Linked DNA regions of Schizosaccharomyces pombe. Changing the gene in region 2 together with the main gene of any one other region gives a genetic interaction. Each region holds a gene or a part of one and is shown on either strand. Other genes may lie near its edges.

Region 1 (6,124 bases), 1.2 Mb from region 2:
CTTATGGTGTCGAAATCGTTGCCTTTGTTTCCAGTGTAGGCAAAATAGCCATTCCATTGCACGAAACCGCTTCTTCCGCCATATTGGACCCAGAGGATGATACATTTGAATCTCCTATAACCGCTGAATATCTGAAATTCCTCAATAAAATTACGAGAGAGGAAGTCGATAAAACCACTGTTCGTTGTCCTCATGCTGCGACGGCCGCCAAGATGGCTGAACGTATTACTCGAGCTCGTGATAACCACGATTCCATCGGTGGTACTGTAACCTGTGTGATCCGTAATGTTCCCACCGGTCTTGGTGAACCATGTTTTGACAAACTTGAGGCCAAGCTTGCTCATGCCATGATGAGTATTCCTGCCACCAAGTCTTTTGAAATTGGCTCAGGCCGTGAAGGCTGCAAAGTTGCTGGATCCAAGCATAACGATCTTTTTTACCGAAATGCTGATACTGGCAAGCTTGGTACCTTGACCAATAACAGTGGAGGTGTCCAAGGTGGTATTTCCAATGGCGAAAACGTTTACTTCACCATTGGCTTTAAGTCTCCTGCTACCATCGGCGTAGAACAGTCAACTAGCCGTTACGATGGTAGTGACGGTGTTCTTGCTGCCAAGGGTCGTCATGATCCCTGTGTTGTTCCCCGTGCCATTCCCATCGTTGAAGCCATGGCTGCTCTTGTCGTTATGGATGCTGTCATGATTCAACAAAGTCGTATTGCCTCTCGAAACCTACTCCCCAATGCTCAATAAATTAAAAAAAGTTAAAAATAAGCTAGTTTGGGGGCAAGAATCTCACTTCAATTGAGTTAGCCTACTGGATTATCTTATTTTGATGCGCCAAAAAGAGAGGATTAGATATACCTTTTGTCTCTTAGATTACATATGTACATTTTTTTTGGAGGGTAAATTTAACACAAATTAAGGCATATTTAACAGATACTTGTCAATATAGTGTGTAAGATTATAAATGAATATTTTTAAAAAAAGTAAAAAATTTAATACACAAGAAAAACTAAAGAAGTGTTGCAAAGAGTATAAGACCTTCTCTTCAACTAGCAATTGATGTTTGTTTGTATGCAGATTTTTTTCATGTTTATTACACAGACACCTGCGGTACACAATCTAAATTGGTGACCAAATATAGCTTTTGCCATTCTCTTTTAATCTTGCCATTGATTTTTCTCTCATCTAAGTATTCATACTTACACACTGTGTATGCAATTATGATATATTATACCGGCAGTTTGGTCATGTTGCAAAAAATTTTTTTTGCTAATGCCGTTTATCGGCACATCGTCTATGCTTGTAGATGAAGTAAAGGATTATTATTATGTAAAAAAAAAAATCTTTGGATTTATGGGTTTTACTATCAACGTTTCCATACTTGTGAGAAAAAGTGGTAGTTGTTTTAAAGTAATATTTTGAATAATCGAAATTTGTTATAGAATATTTCTGATGTTCCACACATTTTACGTACCAAAAAACCTCTGTAAGAAAATAGTATTCTATTATGAAGCCTTCTTCTCAGGCGTACTTCTCGTTAGTCCCACCTATGATGAAATAGCAACCATCCCGTCTACTATCTGGAAAAGGAGGATTACGTATAGTAGTGTAATACGGAATAGTGAAAGGTACTTCGCAAAAATGATCATTCCAAAAGTGCTCATCGTCATCCCTCACCAGGTGTCGTGCTACGGTATAGATGTACCTAACCTTTTCCAACCACCAGTATAACGTAGGCTTGATTTTAAACAAGATATTAATCAATTTTGGAGATTGAGGACTACTAAAAATCTACAAGTCTTAAAGAAGAAATAAATTTCAGAGTCATTTAGCTTGGTAGCTTTACGACTATAGCCCCGCCGAAATACGAGTTGCCTAGTCCCCGATAGAGGAAAAGCTCGATTAGTAAATCCGGTAATTCATGTACTTATTGACTATTGAAGCTATTTAAGAGGACTCGAGGAACACTTCCTGATGGGATCAGTGAATAATGAAGAAAAAACTTTAATTGAGCCACAACGTCTTTTACGGAAAAATACTTGGCATCCAGAGGTAGACGATAGCGAAGTTCCTCCTTCTGTCTTTCCTGAATATCCCGTCCACAAGGCCATCCAGAAAACGTCCGATTCATTTCGTAAACGGAACTACAGCGCGGGAGATTATGTAATAGCCCCGTTGGGCGGAGAACGTGAAGGAAGTTCGTTAACTCACTCATGGACTTTTCAACCTGGTAAGCATAACCAGCGTCTTTATTCTGATAATTTTCAAGAGGCTCAGCGCCAGTGGAAGCGCCTGCAAGAATGGGGCGAGGTGAAGGAAACAAAAAAGATAAGAAAGCGGTTTGATCGGTTTTCGGGTCGTAAATACATTAACCACTATGAGATTATAAAAGAACTAGGACGTGGTATGCACGGTAAAGTCAAGCTTGGCCGTGATACCGTTACCCGCGAACTGTTGGCGATCAAGATCATCCCGAAGACGGAACGTCGTCCGAAACTGGGCCGAGCCAATGCTTCCAGTCAAAAGGAAAAAGTTCGTCGCGAAATTGCCATCTTAAAGAAATGTGTCCATCCTAATGTCGTCCGCTTGCGCGAGGTCATTGACGATCCATCCTCAACGAAGGTGTATCTTGTTTTAGAGTACATGAGTGGTGGGGAAGTGCCATGGACAGATTGTGACTCCCCCGTACTCTCGATTAGCGAGGCAAGACAATACTTTCGCGATGTTGTCTTGGGTCTAGAGTATTTACATTACCAAGGCATTATTCATCGAGATATTAAACCCGCCAACCTTCTCCTTAACTCTTCTAATTGTGTCAAAATATCTGATTTTGGTGTTTCGTACATTGCCAACGCTGGCCTGAATGAAGACAACGACGTTGAGCTTGCAAAAACTGTCGGCACTCCTGCTTTTTTCGCCCCTGAATTGTGCTGGACCGATTTGGATCGCCCAAGGCCTAAGATTTCTGAAGCAATAGACGTATGGGCTTTAGGCGTTACTTTGTTTTGCCTTTTGTTTGGTCGTTGTCCATTTAATGCTAGCATGGAGTATGAGCTTTTTGACAAAATCGTCAATGAGCGTCTGAACATCCCTTCTACACCCGACATTGGTGAAGAGGGTCGAGATTTGCTTAAAAGATTATTATGCAAAGATCCTGAACAACGTATAACACTTGTAGAAGTAAAACTTCACCCATGGACATTGGATGGCTTGAAGGATCCTGAAAAATGGTTGCAAAACACTGATCCCAGTACCGTCAGTCGTGTTGAGGTTTCTACAGACGAAGTTGCTTCTGCAATCAGCCTTGTGGGTCGTCTTCGCAGAAAACTTGGTAAGCTGTTTCGTTTCCGCCGTCCAAAAGCGCGAGTGTTTGATTCTTCCTCCTCTGTTCCTTCCGACTCTTCCATTTGTCGGCCTGAGAGCTCTGGTAATTCTTCAATTGGTTTATCCGCGTCCGAGTTGTCCGATTCTTTTAATCGGCTTGCGGTGAATGAGTCTCAGAAGGATCGTGAAAGAAAGCAAGTACATCCTGTCGAAATGGGTCGTAATAGTTCTGAGAAAAAGCCTAGATGTGACTTTGGCTGGGACTATGAGGCATTTCCCAATGACAATCAAGATGCTGATGATGCTTGCAGCTATAATACCGGCGACTCTATTCCACAAGTCTCCAAATCCATTAACGGTCATTTCGAAACGTATAGTCGCACGTCGATGGATACGGATGATGTAGCCTCTTTCGAATCTCCAAATGCGAAGCATGAGGAAAGTGGAATGCCTGTCGTTACTTTTCGTAATTATGAGAATTATGATGCTAATCCGTCCAATTTTCATCCAGTGGTTCCTGGTTTTGTATCATCACCTAACCTTCATTTAGCCGGGGGCTCTGACACACCTATCTACTGCATTGAGCATTCCTTCACACCAACTAATTGAGTGCTGTATGAACATTTCCCAATTTTATTCAATTGTTTTTTTTTTGCAATGTAGGTTGCATGTGTCTTTTAATTACTCATTTCTTATTCTTGGCTTTTTACCTAGTGTTCAATAACACTTTGTCATTCGTTTTCATCAAATCATGTCATTCGGACCTTTTAGATTTTTATTTGTCCTATATGTTTGCCCCATCTCAAGAGAAGCCTTTTTTTTTCCTTTTTCTAAATAAGACGCTTAGGTTCCAAGTCTTTTGGAAAAAAGGTGACTTTATTGATGATTCTTGCGCATTCCACTCGTTTTACTCGTTTATTTTAAAATGTTTTATTATCTAATGTGCCTTTTGTTTACCTCGTATATCGTGATTTTTTTTCCTATGAGCAAAAAAAATTTACTGATTAGACGTTGAAACTGGTTTTTTTGATGAATTCTTCTTATTCCTGGCATAGGAAATAAATATCATTTTATTATTTTTTTATGACCTAGTTTGTAATTTCTTCTATGTGCTGTTGTGATACAAATCTATTGAATATAGGTGAAGTGGGGCAACTTTTGTATGGTGTGATTTAGAAGACAGACAGCAATATTGCTACCATTTGAGAAATTTTATCTTCTAAAGCCTACAAATTGGACGTATGAAGAATTTTTATAAACTAATATTTTGTAAGGGAAAATCTTCATTTTCCTCGTTTGGACTTATTCGTGAAGCAGATGATGCTTCGTCTTCGAACCACAGATGATCTCCGTATGAAATACAGAGTTCCTCATTTGTTTTTATCTCTCGTAATGTGTAATATGAGATGTAGTTATTGCGATTGTCTTTTTTCCAATACACGTTTGGATGACGGTCGTGATTGAACATACTTCCAAGTCCTAGAGCTAATCCTTGTTTGCCTTCGCTCCAAACATATGTGTATTCGTTAAGAACTGTATACTGTCCATGTTGTTCATATTCTTCTTTGCTGAACATCAATACAGGACTAATCTCAATGCATGTTTGTGCTGGAATAGGCTCAAGAGCAAATACTCCTCGGCCTTTTCGTTCTGTATCACGAATCTAAAGCGTTAGTAAACTTATAATTAGACACAATCGTTCAGTCTGTCGACTGATTTTACTAAAGAAAAGAAAAGAATGTGAAATGTTTTCTTTTATATAAATGATTATGAATCATGCTGTGAATCGTTGATCCGTAACATTACCCTTTCGATTATACAACAACAACAATCTTCGACATTTGCTTTTTCTACTGTCTGACTCAACTCATAGCAAAATTCACACAAATAAATATAAATGAATCGAAACACAAAAAAGTTAATTTAAAGTGACTTTTAACTTTCTTCTATCTTCTAGCTATCCTACAATACCTTACCTCAAGCGGACTACGAATAACAGGAATCCGCATTACAAAATCAATTTGACAACTGTCTTAATGATCGGTGTGCTTCACTTCTTACACCTTTTGTGAATTACTTAATTTTAGATGTTTCGTGTCTTTATAGATGAGCCAGGGAGTTGATTTCTTTGGGCTCACGTTTGATGTCTTTCTTTTTTCATATATTAAATTAGTAATTTCTAATAGAAATAAACCAAACAAGGAACTTATTTCACATATACGAATGGCAAAAATAGTTAGTAAGTTAATAGGAAAAAATTTATTTTTCCCAAATAAGGCAGCTATAAGACTCCTTAAACCTATTGTGGTGATACTTCGGGTCATGGTACGTTGCTATATTCACTTTAGTAGATAAAAGGTTATAGTGCGCTATGTTTTTCTATCGAACATTTTGCTGCATAAACAGTCGCAAGTTACCGTTTTCCATTTAGTGTATGGAGGATGCTTTTTGAGGTATTGGCGATCTGTAGTTAAATTGGCATTTGAACAGGTTGGAAAGTGCGTAGGAATAGTTATACTGTTAGCGTTGAAGTGCCCAATTCCTTACGAAAAAAGTTTCGCACGATTTATGTGGAATCGATTTGTGGCATATTTAGTAAGTTTATTCTTCAAAAATATAATATAAGCTACAAAACAAGTTATCTTTTCCTTAATTATTGCATATGCGATTGCGATCATTTACGATGCTTTAAGTTGCGAGTGGAATGGAAAGTATCGCAGATCATTTCTTTCTCGCAGGTCTCTCTAACGGATTTGTGAGTGTATCCAATTCTCAATTTCGAGCAGATAGACTTG
Region 2 (6,797 bases):
CAGCCCCAAGGCAGAGCGGACCAACAAACATTCTCACGTTCTTCCATGCAATATGTCGTAACTTAGAAGAAGTTCGTAAATCGTTTACTAAATTGAATTTATTTACTTTTTACAAGAAAAACGAGTTGCTCTGTTGTATCGATAAATAAAATAGAGAAATTCACAGGTACTCATAATATAAAATTTCGTTACTGTAGTGTTTGTATAATGATGTATTGTGATAGATTTTTGTCACATAAGATTTTGGTGTGATGTGCCTTATTCCATTCGTTTCTTTATCAACGTACAATCGCGCTATCTTCATATAATAAATCGGCAAATTCCAGTAATAAAAAATAAGGATTTGTGCTAGTAATCACTATTGTACTTTATTTGAAGCCTATTTCTGCCATGAGTCCTTTTGGGGCAGTATAGGTAGGTAAAAAAAGTCAAAGTCCCATCATGCTCTTTGACAAACTCGTACACTTTAAGGGTTGTTAGGAATATATATAATAAATGTTTCTAATTCCCTTCCTCTTAAGTTTTACGTTCTACAGTTTACATTTCTATCCTACGAAGAAAGCAATTAATTATGATTGACATCGGTAGGGACGACGATATAATTATGAAGCTGCACCGATTTTTATTACCAAGGTTCTTCAAATTTTTTAAATAGCCTCTAATATATTATTGAAGAGCTTCATTCTTTCAATACTTTGTTAAGTCTTTTGATGCTTTCCTCTTCAAATCGAAAAATTCAGCGCACGTCGTTAACGAATTTTAATGTCTTCATTAAAATGCACAAATATACGTAAAAATAGTTTAATGTCTTCGGTATCTATCGTTGTAGCGGTTTATGTGTTGCTGCCAATATCCTTATATAGAGTAAACAGTCTTCCTACCATGCGTGTCTGAGTCGTCCACTAATTCAAACAATTACTCATGTTTCTAGGGCGATTGCTATTCATTGAGTAGTTTGAAGAAATTCATTCTTTCCAAATTTACTTTGTTGCTCCATGTTTACTTATTTTCGCCTTTTGCTCGTTTCGTCTATTTTCGTATGCTCATCATTTTTATGTCAGTTGTTACTTTGTCCACGATTTATGGTTGAAGTAAGCTTGCCCGGTCGATTAACGATAATTTATAAAATCAAAAGAATCAGTAGTTCAAACCAATTTGCTCAAGAGCGCTACTGTTCTTGGATCGCCACCTTTCGCTACTTCTTTCTTCTTATATCCGATGTAAGAATCTTCTTGTGGGTAAAAACCAACTTTCAAAGCAAAGAGAAACACATAATTGCCTGTCAAAAACGAATTTTATTAATAAACAGTAATTCACTACTAATTTTGTTTTGCCAAATTTTTCGTTTTCCATCTTACTTTCTCATTCCCTCCAAACTTCTTGTTTAATCAATTCTTCATACACTCTTATCATCGATTGTATAACGTCTTCGAACGCACTACGCTAATGAATTTTTCCTATATACTGAACACGTCAGTTTACTTCCATCGTCCGCAAGTCATCGTTTTCAACGCGAATGGTCTATTCTTTCGTTTCTTGTGATAATTGACTGTTCAATCGGCCTTAGCTTTATACCGAAATTTTATAAATCTATTTATTCAGCTTAAGATTTCATCGTTCAAGTCGATATTCTCTTTGATACCCTCTTTTGTCTTTGTTTGTTCCTTTTTCACACTTGCTGAGGCCATTCCTCACGATATTTAGGAGTTACGCTTTACCTAACAAACCATTTTTTGTCTACCATTTTGACACTCATTTTCTTTGTTCATTTCTTTCGCAACTCACTTCCTTGGCGAAACTGGTGGTTTTCGCCTGTTCTACTCTAGCTAGCTAAGCTCCCTCTCCCTGTGCATTCTTAGCCTACCTCTTTTTACCGATACAACGAATAGCGCTCCGTATATATCAGTTTGCCAGCTTGCGGATCGCCTCGGAATTCAAGTATTAGATATTACCAACTAACTTTGTTTGTTAAGTGAGAATTACGTTCTTATCATTCATTACGGTAGAATCGGGATTTTTATAAGCAGGCCTTTTTTTTTCCTTAATTAACGAGGATCTACCACTGATCACTTTCATACTTCCTCATTCCTTGCGATTTTGACATTTGAGGAATTAAAATTCCTTTTGGGGCTGACTGTTTCGCGGCGATTTTCATTTGCCGCCTAACTCTTTCGCTTCTGACGGACCAGTCTTCTTTTTTTTCCTTTTCTTAATTTTGTTGGTTTTTCGTTCACTTCTCGAACCACAACCTTCCTTAATAAGACGCTTTTTTTATCCGTAAACATTCGTTTTCCCGTTTACTTCTTTCTTTCTTCTTTTTTTTTGGGGTTTCCTTCTACTTATCTTTTGGATCGTTTCCTGATATCTTTAAAGGCAACCGTTTTTATCAGTTGGGGTCTACGTATTTAATTTGGATTACGAATCTTGTGCCTCGTTTCGCCTTAGCCAGTCTTTCTTTGCTAGCGACTTCTTTTTTCGTTCGATCTCATTGTTTCTTTTTATATTCTTTATTTTTTGTTAACCCACTGCTCCTTTAACTTTTAATACTTCTTTTCTCACTACCCTTTTCGTGTCATGGATGAGGAGTTTGAAAATGACTTTCCTTACAAGGTGATGCTTAATCAGCAACAGGATCCTTCTGATGCGCAATCGAGTCCTACATTTGTTCCTTCTGCAAACCCTTCCCTCACCACTCCTTGGTTACAAACCACTCCCTCTGCTAATCGCCCCACATGGCTACCGTTACAGCAGCACATGCATCAGCTTCGACACACTGGTCTTTTACCCGCCGTTGAATCGTCCTTTGTTCATGGCCATCGTCGAAGTGCTAGTGCTGGCGTTGGTATGGGCAATTTTTCCAACCAAGCCACTATTCCTTCTAATTCTCCAGCCGTTTCTAATATGCAACCACCGACTCAAGGCGGTCAACCCTTATACCCTACTAATTTCTTCACCACTTCGGTCTCTGCCTCTTCAGATTCCTTCCCTAACAGTCCGACCGTTCCTTCAAAGTTTAGCTTAAATCCATCAGTTGCTACATCTACGAACATTAGTCCAAGGCGGCATGCAAAAAGCCATAGTGTTGCTTCTGTTTCCTCTCCCAATTCCCATAACGCCGTACCGTTTACTCCCCATGCGTTCGTTCCTCCAGTCAACAACGCATCTCCTTTACCAGCCTTGAACACTTTACCACAATTATTGCGCCCTCGTAATTTGGATGCTCAATGGCGTCCTTCATCACTTTCTCAAACGAATAGTCCTACTCATGCCGCGAATCCATCTTTTCCTGGGACTATTGTAACTCATAATACCTCAAACTTTCGTCCTGAAGGCGGTGGTCATCGTCATCGTCGATCGACTGGCAGCTTAAGTGTTGGCTCCTCTGGCTCTGGTTTTTCTTCGGGAGGTTCAGGTAATCCCCGTAAAAATCTTTTTTCTCCTTATTTACCACAGTCATCGATTCCTGCTCTACTCGCTGAGCGTCGTTTGGTAACGGGTATTTTAATTGTAAGTAAGAAAAATAGATCAGACGCTTTTGTTAGTGTCGATGGTTTGGATGCGGAAGTATTCATATGTGGTTCGAAAGATCGCAATCGTGCCCTTGAGGGTGATGTCGTTGCCATAGAGCTGTTAGACGTTGACGAGGTATGGGCTGGTAAACTTGAAAAGGAAGAGAATCGAAGGCGTAAAGACCCAATTTCTACTAGAGGCTCTTTTGACAACCTTCGAATTGACGCCGTACCGTTTGAGGTTCCTCAGAGGTCTGCTATAAAAGCAAGAGATGATGAACAAGTGGAAGGGCAGACCCTGTTCCTTCTTGACCAAAAGCAGCTTGGTGCGGACGAAAAGCCAAAGTATGCTGGTCATGTCGTAGCAGTCTTGCAGAGGGCGCCAGGCCAGGTATTTTCTGGTACGCTTGGCATACTTCGGCCAAGTAGTGCCGCTAATAAGGAGAGGCAGACCTCGTCGGGTAATCAAGGCTCTTCCAATAACTCGGGAAATGACAAGCCCAAAATCGTATGGTTTAAGCCATCTGATAAACGTGTGCCTTTGATTGCAATTCCTACTGAACAAGCACCCACAGACTTTTTGGGTAACGATCAAGCATATGCTCAACGATTGTTTTTAGCTTCTATAAAGCGTTGGCCTGTAACTTCTCTACATCCTTTTGGTATGTTGGTTGGTGAATTAGGATCTATGGACTCTATGTCTGCTCAAGTATCCGCTTTATTACACGATACGGGTGTTCATAGTGAACCATGGGAAGGATCCGCCGCTACATCCGCCGTAACTGCACTCAATGCTTTATCGGATAATTTTTTAAACGTTGCTGGTTGTGCAGATTATCGATCTGAAGATGTCTTTTTATTTGTTAAAAATGACGTTAGCAAAGCAGCCGTTTCAGAAGTCAAGCAACATGAATCAAACATCAATTCTAGTTCTGCTACTGATTTCGTTTCTTCTGCCTTTCATATTCGACCAACTTCAACTGGTTATCATGTAGGAATCCATGTTACTGACGTTTCTCGTGTTATTGAGCCAGGATCCCCATTAGATCGCGAATTACAGCGAAGAAGTATTGCGGTGAATCTTTGCCAAAAGTCGGTTCCTTTGTTTCCCACTACGTTAGGTGAGGCTTTATCTTTACGAGAAGATAAGGATTGTTATACAATGTCTCTCTTACTGGATGTTTCCTCAACTGGTAAAATTCGTGGCACTTGGATTGGATGGGCTGTCATTCGTCCTCGCAAGGCATATACCATGAAGGAAGCTGATGAGTTGCTTCAAACTGATGCTAGACTTCGTTTATTCCATACCGTAAGCAGTCGCTTACGAACTCATCATCTTGGTACAGACGTGCCACTCAGCCGGTATTGTAGGTTAGTACGTCGATGGGATGAAGAAAGCTGCAGCTTTGATCCCAATGAAACGAATCTTTTTATTTCCTCGGCGGTTGAAGTTTTACGTGAAACTCTTTTGGATGCCGCTAATAGAGCCGTTGCAAGCCACTTGCGTCAGGAATTCCGTGAAAATGCATTCCTTAGGACTCAGCGATTGCCCTCTCGAGAAAACTGTCGCATATTACAAAGTATGGCCATTCAGATGGGATGTGTTTTAGATTTGTCTTCGACAAAATCACTTTTACGCTCTTTAAGTTTGATCGAAGACGATACTGTTCGTAACATTTTGCAGCTTTATTATTATAAGGTTACCCCAAGAGCAGTTTATGAAATGCAGAAGTATAAAGGCAATCTCGCTTCCCAGATGATGAGTCTTGGTATTGAGGACGAAAGTGACGATTTGACACATTTTACAGCACCTTTGGAACGTTATGGTGATATTGTAGTTCATTATCAACTGCAGTTGCTTTTGAGAGGAGAACTGGCTTCTGAAAAGCGCCTTCGTGTATGGTCGCAAGCGGCAAACGATGCAAGCCGTCGTCTGGTTATAAGCAAATTTGCGCAAGAAACTAGCATTCATATAAAAATATTTAGTGACTGGGCGGAGAGTCAGGTTTGGCAAGACGGTCTCGTATGTTTTGTTGCTCCATCATATTTTGACGTATTTTTCCCATCTCTAGGCATGGAGAAACGTGTTCATTTAGATTTGCTCAATCTAACCCACGTAAGGTTTGAAGAGGACCAGGGCATTTTATCTTTATACGACGAGAGCGGAGCCGTTACAGTTGTTAAATTGTTGACCTCTGTCAAAGTTAAGCTCTTTGTGCAGCTTTCGACTCCACCTCTTATCAACGTTTCAAATGTCGAGTTTTGATGTTGAACTTCGATTGTTTGCAATGTTTATTTCATGTATGTGTTTTTTGGTGACACATGTTCATTTTCGGATGCCTGGAATGGCTTTATATTCTCATTCATATTATTGCTCTTATTATTAGGCATTGTTGATAAAAAATATGTTACGATTCTAAAACTGCATTTTTTCCCATTCTTACTTTTCTCTTTAATTTCGACGAAGCTGTTACTTACGTCTAATATTTGTTTCTGGAGATTTACAAGTTTTGCATAGCCAAGGAGCTCGAAAACTCGGTTTAATCTTATACACTAAGATGCCGATTTTTTATGTTATATAACTAAAAGGATGATTAAACTTGATTACGATAGTTCACGATGATAGAGTTGGATGAAGGAATCCAGTAGTCTCGATACGTGATTTTATGAGTGCATGAGTTGATGATACCTTGAACTTTTCCTTTTTTATACATTAGATTGGATTTTGTTTCAAAAATGAAATCCTGCTTTTATATTGATACATGTCACTTTGTTGGCTTACCAGTAGATGAAGTGTCGTTTGCGTTTGCAATCACTGCGGCGATTAGGCAATCAGAAGTGGATTCTTATCGGTCGTTTGGGGTTAGCTGAGTCTTTTATTTTTTGTTTCTTTTTTTAAAATGAATCTACTATTGGACGACATCTTAGCAATTTTCAGTTGATTTTTTGCAATTTAAGTTCATTTCTTACACAAAATATTCAAATTTATAGTTATGAAACGTATCCGGGATGTGTTAGTTACTCATGTCCTATTTTATGATATGAAAACGGCATAAGATATTAAAAAGAAAAGGATTCTACAAATATTCTTAGTGATTACTATTTTTCATTTTTAACGCTGCCTTGTTATATCGGCTTTTGTTTACCAAGTGTATTAACTCGATATCGAGTATATTTTGATGTATACGCATGCTATACTGATTATAAAAAATTATTAATCCACAAAGTCTTAGAAATTATGAGAACTAAATGAAATACTCTTTAAAAATAGAAAAAAAGTTAAAAATA
Region 3 (4,448 bases), on a different chromosome or scaffold from region 2:
GGCAGTTATGTAGCTGATGAATCGGGTGTTAGAGACTTATGTAGTACCTCTGATAAAAAAGCAGTGCTTGATGCTTTTCAATTTGAGCCAATTGGGTTCTCGTCGAATATGATTTACAAGGACCGCTATGCCACAATCCATGTTACGCCTCAAGAACATTGTTCTTATGCTTCATTTGAAACAAATGTTTCGCAATTCCAATTCGGAAGATCCATATCTGAAACAATCGAAAAAACTGTTAAAACTTTTGGTGCAAACAAATTTTGTCTTACCCTTTTCCAGGCTAAAGGTGCGTCTCAAGAGAAGCATTTCTCGGCCAAACTTAAATCTTTTAGCTCTTATAAGCGTGAAGAATTTATAGTGTATGACTTTCCTGGATATGATCTTATATTTGCCAGCTTTACTGCAGTATAAGTTCGGAGAACAGTCAGCTAGATATTTTAAATTATCTGTTGCTATATTTATTATCATTCTTTTTTACGGTGGAGCGTGCCATGCGAATACCCCTTTTTACAATCTTTCATTATGCAAAAAGTAGTCGTCTTTTGTTTGCTTGTTTTATAAAAGGTTTCATAGTTATGAATACCAAAAAGTTTATTATGAATATCTAAATGCAATGCTTATGTATCTAGTCATCGGTTATCTTGTATTATGCTAAAGTAAACTCATTTGCTTTCTTTATTTTGAGTGTTTAGATATTTGTTGTAAGTATGCTTAAAACCTCGGATCAGGTTTATGCTCATTGAAAAATTCCAACTAAAAAACGAATATGCGCAGGTTTTGGTATCTACAAAGAGCTTTTCTTATCTGCAAAGCGTTCTACCAAATGATCGATAGAGGTATCATCTTCAGACGAATTCATTACTTCTTCGAAAGCCTTTAAATCCGTAGAACGTCGACGGCTATTAGATGGCGGTAAACGTTCATTTTGGATATCCAGCTTACGAGCATCATCGAAGGAATTGATAGCATTTTTGATACCCTCAGCTCCCAACATTAAAGTACCCGCAGGTAATCTTTGCGTACCTGACACGTTTTTCAGTTCCGAAACACTTTCCCGTTCTTCTCTAAGCACACTGAATACTCGAGAGATACGGCCAATAGCCATAATCTTGTTTTTAATAATTTGCCTACGAGCTTCAATATCAATTTCTTGGTCGGCTTTATTTTCATTCTCAGATGGAGCAGGCTGTTTATGCTGAGTCGGAGCCGATTCTTTCAAATCCGTTTCATAAAGCTCCTCCTTAGAACATATATTGAGCATTGAAATCAACATTTCAGAAACTTTTTCGCCCACAAATGGAAGACTCCAAGTAAAAACATCCATAAAGTTAGGAAGCCAGTAAGGATGAGGGGAACAATTAAATTGTCTTATATTCATTACATTATTTTCGTATTTCAAAACAGCAGCTTTATTATTGTAAACATCCAAATAGTTGGGTGCTGAAAATATGGTCATCAAAGATGGAAACCCGGTTGTTTTAGTTTTGCGATACATTCGATAGCCCACATCTTGAGCTTCATGAGCACGAATAACGGAGAGGAGATTATTGTTTTCTAAGAAGGTGCAAACAGCTTGGTAACTATAAAAGTAAGAACAGCCACGAACATTATTATGAATAAAATGCTTGTTTGATTTTTCCGATCCAAAATCTTCAAGGGGATCAGACCAGAGTAAATCACACATCAACCCATGAGTTGGAGGCTCACAAAAACGATTGATCATTCGTATATCATTCAAAGTATGTAGTTCGGGTGATAATCCACCATGTACACATAAAAATTGCTTATTCATAATAGCTGCCAAAGGAAGGGCATTAAAAGATTGTAAACAAGCTTCATAAACTTTAATATTATACTTATGAGTACATTCTAACTTGAAGGTAAAATAGTCAGTAAGATGAGCGCATTCGTGATTGCCACGAAGCAACCAAAGCGTTTTCGGATACCATATTTTCAAAGCCCACAAGTACAATAAACACTCAATTGAGAAATATCCTCGATCCACGTAATCTCCAAGGAAAAGATATTGGGTATTTGCTGGATTACCTCCAACTTCAAATAGTTTCATAAGATCATAATATTGGCCGTGAATGTCACCGCATACTAAGCTGTCAGACCGAAGAATATTGCAATACAAACAAAATATCGACCCAAATTAAAATGAAGGAAAAACATAGTCATAAATTACATTTCAAAGTTCTAATATTTTACCTTATAGTAATTAGGGCCTAAATATGAAAGGTGATAATCAACATACCAGTGACAGGTGCATCCACCTCAATCAAGTTGTCTTCTGACTTCAAAATTTCTGTAGCCTTTTTTATAATATACAACGTTTGTTCCTCAGATAAACGGCCTTCCCGAATGAAATGATTGCGAAGAAAATGCAAGTCAGGTTTATCAGGTTCATTAATATCAAAAAACTCCACGTCCGTCGGAATATAAGTTGCTGGTGCTTGAACATCTTTGATTGTTAATAAGACTAATTTCTTTCAAAAATATCCGTACTTTTCACTACTCTATCCAGTGTGCTAACACTAGAGCCATCTTCTTGAACAAATATTGTAAAATCATGAGAAGGAGCTTGATTTTTTTGGCGAATTGCTCGAACTATTGGGTCTTCTAAATTATGAGGACCCGAAGTCATATTAGTAACTTTTGCAAGCCTATATACAGCCTGGGTAAAATGCTAGATATTCTTGCAAAAAGTTTTGGTAGATTCTGGTTTGTTATACTTACATCGTCCCGGCGGTTTTGGAAAATGGTTTAACGAAAAGCAAAGAAATTCGTAATTGCTTTTCTCAATGAACCATGTGAACAAAAAACATATCTGTTTACAATTCTAAGTACTTTTTTTTTTTTTTATAATATAGATATATTTCATCATAATCTTTACTTCTGTATATTTAAAAATTTACAAACAATCGCCGCTTAGACAAACATATCTTAATAACCAATCGTGTTAGTAATAAGAAATGAACTTGTAGAAAGGGAACCCAAATACTACCTGAATTCCTTCCTAATTATATTGCCTTGCTCATTTTTGAGAGAAGCAAACTAAGTTGATTTGATGAAACTTACATTCCATGATTACCTAACTGAAATAACGATAGTTTTATTGATAAAATAAATATCCATAAAACACTTTAAGAGTTAATAATCATTTTATTTTTTGTTTAGACGGCTACGTCAAATTTTAGGTTATTGTAAATATTCTTTGATTTCTCATCGCTTTCCGTAGTAAAGAATTAGACAAAAGCGATTTTTAGAAAGAATAAGCAAAATAAATGTAAATTTGGGTATTTTATTAGAAGTAAAGGAAATAGAAAAGAGTGTTGCAAGTGTGAAGATATATGCAAAAACTAAAACATATGTAAAATTATGGGATAAAGCCAAAGGAAAGAAATGAATAATGCAACAAATGTAAAAAATTAACCATATCTTACAAACTTTTATGCTCTCAATAGGACATTGGAACACTTCTAAGAAAGAGAATTCCAAAGCACACAAAAAAGCTTAATCTTTCTTCTCGGTGGGTTTGGTAACAGAAGAGGACTTGTCATTTTGAGAATTATCAGATAGCGTAGTAGCTTTGGTAATTGTACTATTATTAGTAGGTTTTTGCTCATTGTTTGTATCGGTTTTAAGGAAACGTGTAGCATCTAGTATTTCAGAGGCTTGTGGGTATTTACCTTTTTCTTGAACCCCATGGACAATATCGGTAAATGACTTAACAAACGATTCATTTTGAGCGTTCGGTACTGGCATAGCAGATGGGACTTCTGGTAAGCCAAGTTTATGCCTTATGGTGGATGAACGCAAAAATGCCCCTTGAAATACACTGAAGACATTGCTAGGAAACCAATACATAAAAATTGCCATAGGAAAATTCATAGTGAATAGTGGACTGGCAAGGCAAAGAAATCTAAAAAATTTTTTCATTGAGGGAGACATAGCAACCTTATTACTTCCAGTTTCGCTACCAAGCTCTATATTGAGCAGCATAAGAAGGCCGTTTGCAACCGGAAATATGTGTAGAGGATCAGGCTGGGATAAATCATTAACCCACCAAAAACCACCATCAGTGAAACCCTCTACAGGTACACCCGCCATTGTCTTCAACGCGTAAAAAAAGCTAATAAACAGAATTCCCTGAAATACAGGAGCAGAAAGCAAATTCAAAGGGTTAACATTGTTAACTTTATAAAGGTTTTGGATTTGAGTGGTAGCTTGCATCATTAATTCGCTGTTTCCTTCAGCCTTTGCTTTACTCAACACACTCATGTGTTCAGCAACCTTTGGGTTAATGATAGCGAGCTTTGCGGACGTTTTCATCATCTTTAACATAATAGGAAATACTGCAATTCTCATAGCAACAGCACATGCAGCAATTGAAGCCCACCAAGGAAGGCCGCTCCAAATATGAAGCGTATTAAGGCCGTTTT
Region 4 (4,225 bases), on a different chromosome or scaffold from region 2:
TTAACCCTTTACTTGCTCCCAATCCTTTTTATCTTTTGGGTTTCCTGTTTAAACGTTGGGTAAAGTATAAGATTGGATCTTATTTTCATCGTCGTTTTGTTGGATCGTATGAAAAATTTTACCTTGGTTCGTCGCTCAGTCCTTGCTCTGATCGTTTGGTAAAAATCAAAAATCGTTAGACTTGATTTCGTTGACGTTTAGTGCGTTTAATTCTCTTTCTTAGATTTTTTCCTCCATCCTTCATCTCGTCAACAGTTCTCTCTGTTGTCTCTCCACCGCTATACGTAGCTTTTAAAAGTCGTTTGTTTCATTACCTGCGCCCATCTTTTCTTTTCTAAACTTTAACTCAAAGTGAATAAATAGGAAGAACTAGTCTTTTTTCCTTCCATAAAAGAGCACCAGATATATCGTTGAATCGCCGTGCTTTTTCTATTTGCTTCATTTTTTTATCCCGTACGATGCAAAATAGTTAATTTCTTCAACTTTTCTCAACTTTTGTTTCACCACTTCTTTCTCTCAATTGGGTTAGATTTTTCTCCTTTTACATTTTTTTTATACCTCCCTCTTTTTTTTTCTTGTTTCCTTTTCGTTGATATTTTCATATTTTCGGAATTCTCCTTTTCTAGTTATCCTATTTCTCGTTTCATCATTTTCTTTGTCTTTTCTCAAAAAGGTGTACTCTTGGGTTTCTTTCCACAGTGTAGTATCGCTTTTTTTGAACCTTTGAAGAGCTCATATATTCCTTTCCCTTGAGTTTTTCGGATTAAGTTTTGAATTTTTTTCCCATTTTCTTCATTGCTTTACCGTTTGTTTTCACTTCACTTTGGGGTCTTGGTGGTTACTTGTCTATTGTTTTTTTTGTGGGGTTCTGCATTCTGAATAGTTCTGTTTCTTTTTTTCTGAACTCATCTGTCTAAGTATTCACCATTCATTTGGTTTATTTACAGACGTGTGCTCTGTAATTTTCATCCTTAGTTGACCTTACGTTTTTGCTAGTTTGTTGCATCAACGTGCTTTTGGTTCCCCCCTTTAGCTTTGAATACGCTTCTGACTTTTAAATTGGGTTTTCTGTTTTGTAGGAAAATTATTCCATTGTCATTACATTTCAATTAGCCTCTACCTCTTTTCGTTCCTCGATCTCCTACTTGTATACTTTTCTGCACTTTGACAAACTGCAACTTATAATATTTCTTATACCCTCTATCTTATATTTTTGTTCAGTCTGGTTACTGTTTTCGTGCGTGTGCCCTACCTTTTTGCATTTTCTACTAAATACGAAATAATTTCTTAAATAGTGTTGCTTTTTGCAATCTTGCACTGTGCACTCACAAGCAGTATTTTTATTTTCCTCTTAAAATCGCTTGACCTTTGAAGTGACGATTCATTAATCCGTTAATTTTTAAGGATTCCCCCTTTTTATTCTCATATTTGCATAGTACTGATTCAAACCCATTCTTTGAATTGGATACTCCTCATCCCCTCTAAAACTCTTCCATCTTTATTTTCTGCAGAAAGTTTGAATTGAAAAACTTTTTTCATCTCAGACTTGATTTGAATCTTCTCTTGTTTCCTTCTATATTTTACTAATTTTATTGCCAAATTTTGCGTTAATTCTTTCCTTTTTAGAACCCTGGATTTTCCGTAATTTTGATATTTCCTATCCATTCATTATTTTGCTTTCGGCCTTCAAAACTTGTGCTATCCAATATTTGTATTTTATTTAAGAAGTCTGAATTTTTTTTTACTTTTTTACTTTTTTTTTTAATCATCTCTGCTTCTTTTTTAAGGCCAAATATTCTTAATACAAAACATTCATCTAAAAAACCACGATGAATTTTTCAAACGGTTCAAAATCGTCTACTTTTACAATTGCTCCTTCGGGTTCATGTATTGCTTTACCTCCTCAGCGGGGTGTAGCAACGAGTAAGTATGCTGTTCATGCTTCTTGCCTCCAAGAATATCTCGACAAGGAAGCTTGGAAGGATGACACATTGATCATCGACCTTCGTCCCGTATCCGAGTTTTCCAAATCTAGAATTAAGGGCTCCGTCAATCTTTCTTTACCTGCAACCTTAATTAAGCGTCCTGCCTTTTCGGTCGCGCGTATCATCAGCAATCTTCACGACGTCGACGACAAGAGAGATTTTCAAAACTGGCAAGAGTTTTCATCCATTCTTGTTTGTGTTCCTGCTTGGATTGCTAACTACGTAACGAACGCTGAGGTAATTGGTGAAAAATTTAGAAAAGAATCCTATTCTGGTGACTTCGGTATTTTAGATTTAGACTATTCGAAAGTCTCGGGCAAGTATCCATCTGTGATTGACAACTCTCCTGTAAAAAGTAAATTAGGTGCTTTGCCTAGCGCTCGCCCCAGATTGTCTTACTCTGCTGCTCAAACTGCTCCTATCTCTTTGTCCAGCGAAGGCTCCGATTACTTCTCTCGTCCTCCTCCCACTCCTAATGTTGCCGGTTTGTCTTTAAATAACTTTTTCTGTCCTCTACCTGAGAACAAGGACAACAAATCTTCTCCATTTGGCAGTGCTACAGTCCAGACACCCTGCTTACACAGTGTGCCCGATGCTTTTACCAATCCAGATGTTGCGACCCTCTACCAGAAGTTCTTGCGCCTGCAATCATTGGAGCATCAACGTCTAGTTTCTTGTTCGGATCGTAATTCTCAGTGGAGTACCGTTGATTCATTGAGTAATACATCGTATAAGAAAAACAGATATACCGACATTGTTCCTTACAATTGTACTCGTGTGCATTTGAAAAGAACTAGCCCTTCAGAGCTCGATTATATCAATGCTTCCTTTATCAAAACTGAAACTTCAAATTACATCGCTTGCCAAGGTTCTATTTCTCGTTCTATTAGCGATTTCTGGCACATGGTATGGGACAATGTGGAGAATATAGGCACTATTGTTATGCTTGGTTCATTGTTCGAGGCTGGCCGCGAAATGTGTACTGCATATTGGCCAAGTAATGGTATTGGAGATAAACAAGTGTATGGAGATTACTGTGTCAAACAAATTTCGGAGGAAAATGTCGATAATTCTCGATTCATTTTGCGAAAGTTTGAAATTCAGAATGCCAATTTTCCTTCAGTTAAAAAAGTACATCACTATCAATATCCTAATTGGTCTGATTGTAATTCTCCTGAAAACGTGAAATCTATGGTTGAGTTCTTAAAATATGTGAACAACTCTCACGGATCAGGAAATACTATTGTGCACTGCTCTGCCGGTGTTGGTCGGACAGGAACCTTTATTGTACTAGATACGATCCTACGCTTCCCAGAAAGCAAACTTTCTGGTTTCAATCCTTCTGTCGCCGATTCTTCAGACGTCGTTTTCCAGTTGGTTGATCATATCCGAAAGCAGCGGATGAAGATGGTTCAAACCTTCACACAATTTAAATATGTGTATGACTTGATCGATTCTTTGCAAAAATCTCAAGTTCATTTCCCGGTTTTAACATGAAATTTTTGACTGGATTTTTCTTGGCAATATATATTCGTGTTTTAATCGATTCCTTTATTTCTTGTACTTGTAAAGTGTCTTTTTTTTTACATTTGCATTTGAATTTACTGTCAATGTTTGTGAAATTCAGTTGCTTTAATCACGTTGTCTTTTATTTCAAAAAGTATATTTGAGAACTAGGCTTTTTAATGATATCTTTTTTTCTCTTAAATTTTCTTTTTAGAACTTTGTAAACCTATTTTTTGTACAAGATAAAGTCATCAAACTGATAATAACCTTGTATTATTTTCAGATGCTTTTTAAAATTTATTACTCGATTTCTTTAGGCAGAAATATAGAGTTTAAGCGAAGTGGTCGTGATCAAGAGCAATAGAATTCTTTCTTCACTGATTAAAGGTGAGACGATTCATTAAATATACATTCATTTGAACTATCGTTTGTATGTTTTTAAGTAAGACAAACTTGCAGGAACAAAGATTTTTTATAATACACATTAAACGTAACTCAATATAAATAAATTATTATGGCAATCATTAGGATGCAGATATTCCAATAGTACCTAGAATGCTTTTATATTCACTTTGTCTTTATGCGGTTCATAAGCTGACTCCATTTTTGTAAAGCCATCATATGGTCCTCGTCTAAAACGGCCAAGTTAACTTTAGTTTCAGCAAGCTGCTTTTCTTTTCTAAAGATTTCATCTTCGAGAGACTGACTTTCAACCATAATTTCTAAATTCTCAG

Evidence for each region.
Region 1: of sts5 (region 2) and ssp1, a mutation in one rescues a mutant of the other (synthetic rescue), as found in Schizosaccharomyces pombe (2 studies listed by BioGRID, with this or other methods).
Region 3: mutations in sts5 (region 2) and ppb1 are lethal when combined (synthetic lethality), as found in Schizosaccharomyces pombe (2 studies listed by BioGRID).
Region 4: of sts5 (region 2) and pyp1, extra expression of one rescues a mutant of the other (dosage rescue), as found in Schizosaccharomyces pombe (2 studies listed by BioGRID).

The regions. Positions count from the first base shown.
Region 1 is NC_003421.2:1,876,735-1,882,858, forward strand, and holds ssp1 (calcium/calmodulin-dependent (CaMKK) protein kinase Ssp1), read left to right. Parts: upstream 1-1,712; 5' UTR 1,713-1,979; coding exon 1,980-3,938; 3' UTR 3,939-4,581; coding exon of another isoform or gene 4,582-4,992; 3' UTR 4,993-5,305; coding exon of another isoform or gene 5,306-5,338; 3' UTR 5,339-5,576; downstream 5,577-6,124. Other genes in the region: aro2 (chorismate synthase), read left to right, coding at 1-752; histone lysine methyltransferase Set7, read right to left, coding at 4,582-4,992, 5,306-5,338; SPOM_SPCC297.05 (diacylglycerol-binding protein), read left to right, coding at 6,034-6,124. UniProt on the Schizosaccharomyces pombe protein: Involved in actin localization and thus in polarized cell growth.
Region 2 is NC_003421.2:677,788-684,584, forward strand, and holds sts5 (Dis3L2-like 3'-5'-exoribonuclease), read left to right. Parts: upstream 1-2,047; 5' UTR 2,048-2,574; coding exon 2,575-5,775; 3' UTR 5,776-6,296; downstream 6,297-6,797. UniProt on the Schizosaccharomyces pombe protein: Required for the maintenance of cell shape during interphase. Required for localization of cortical actin to the growing tips before mitosis.
Region 3 is NC_003423.3:2,872,199-2,876,646, reverse strand, and holds ppb1 (calcium-dependent serine/threonine protein phosphatase calcineurin catalytic subunit Ppb1), read right to left. Parts: upstream 2,726-4,448; 5' UTR 2,651-2,725; coding exon 2,512-2,650; exon of another isoform or gene 2,468-2,511; coding exon 2,261-2,467; exon of another isoform or gene 2,107-2,260; coding exon 788-2,106; 3' UTR 538-787; downstream 1-537. Other genes in the region: S-adenosylmethionine decarboxylase proenzyme Spe2, read left to right, coding at 1-414; oxa102 (translocase Oxa101), read right to left, coding at 3,520-4,448. UniProt on the Schizosaccharomyces pombe protein: Calcium-dependent, calmodulin-stimulated protein phosphatase. This subunit may have a role in the calmodulin activation of calcineurin. Appears to be involved in cytokinesis, mating, transport, nuclear and spindle pole body positioning, and cell shape.
Region 4 is NC_003424.3:5,159,683-5,163,907, forward strand, and holds pyp1 (protein tyrosine phosphatase Pyp1), read left to right. Parts: upstream 1-1,829; coding exon 1,830-3,482; 3' UTR 3,483-3,678; downstream 3,679-4,225. Other genes in the region: GTPase-activating protein Gyp51, read right to left, coding at 4,059-4,225. UniProt on the Schizosaccharomyces pombe protein: Plays a role in inhibiting the onset of mitosis. Dephosphorylates sty1/spc1 and wis1/spc2/sty2.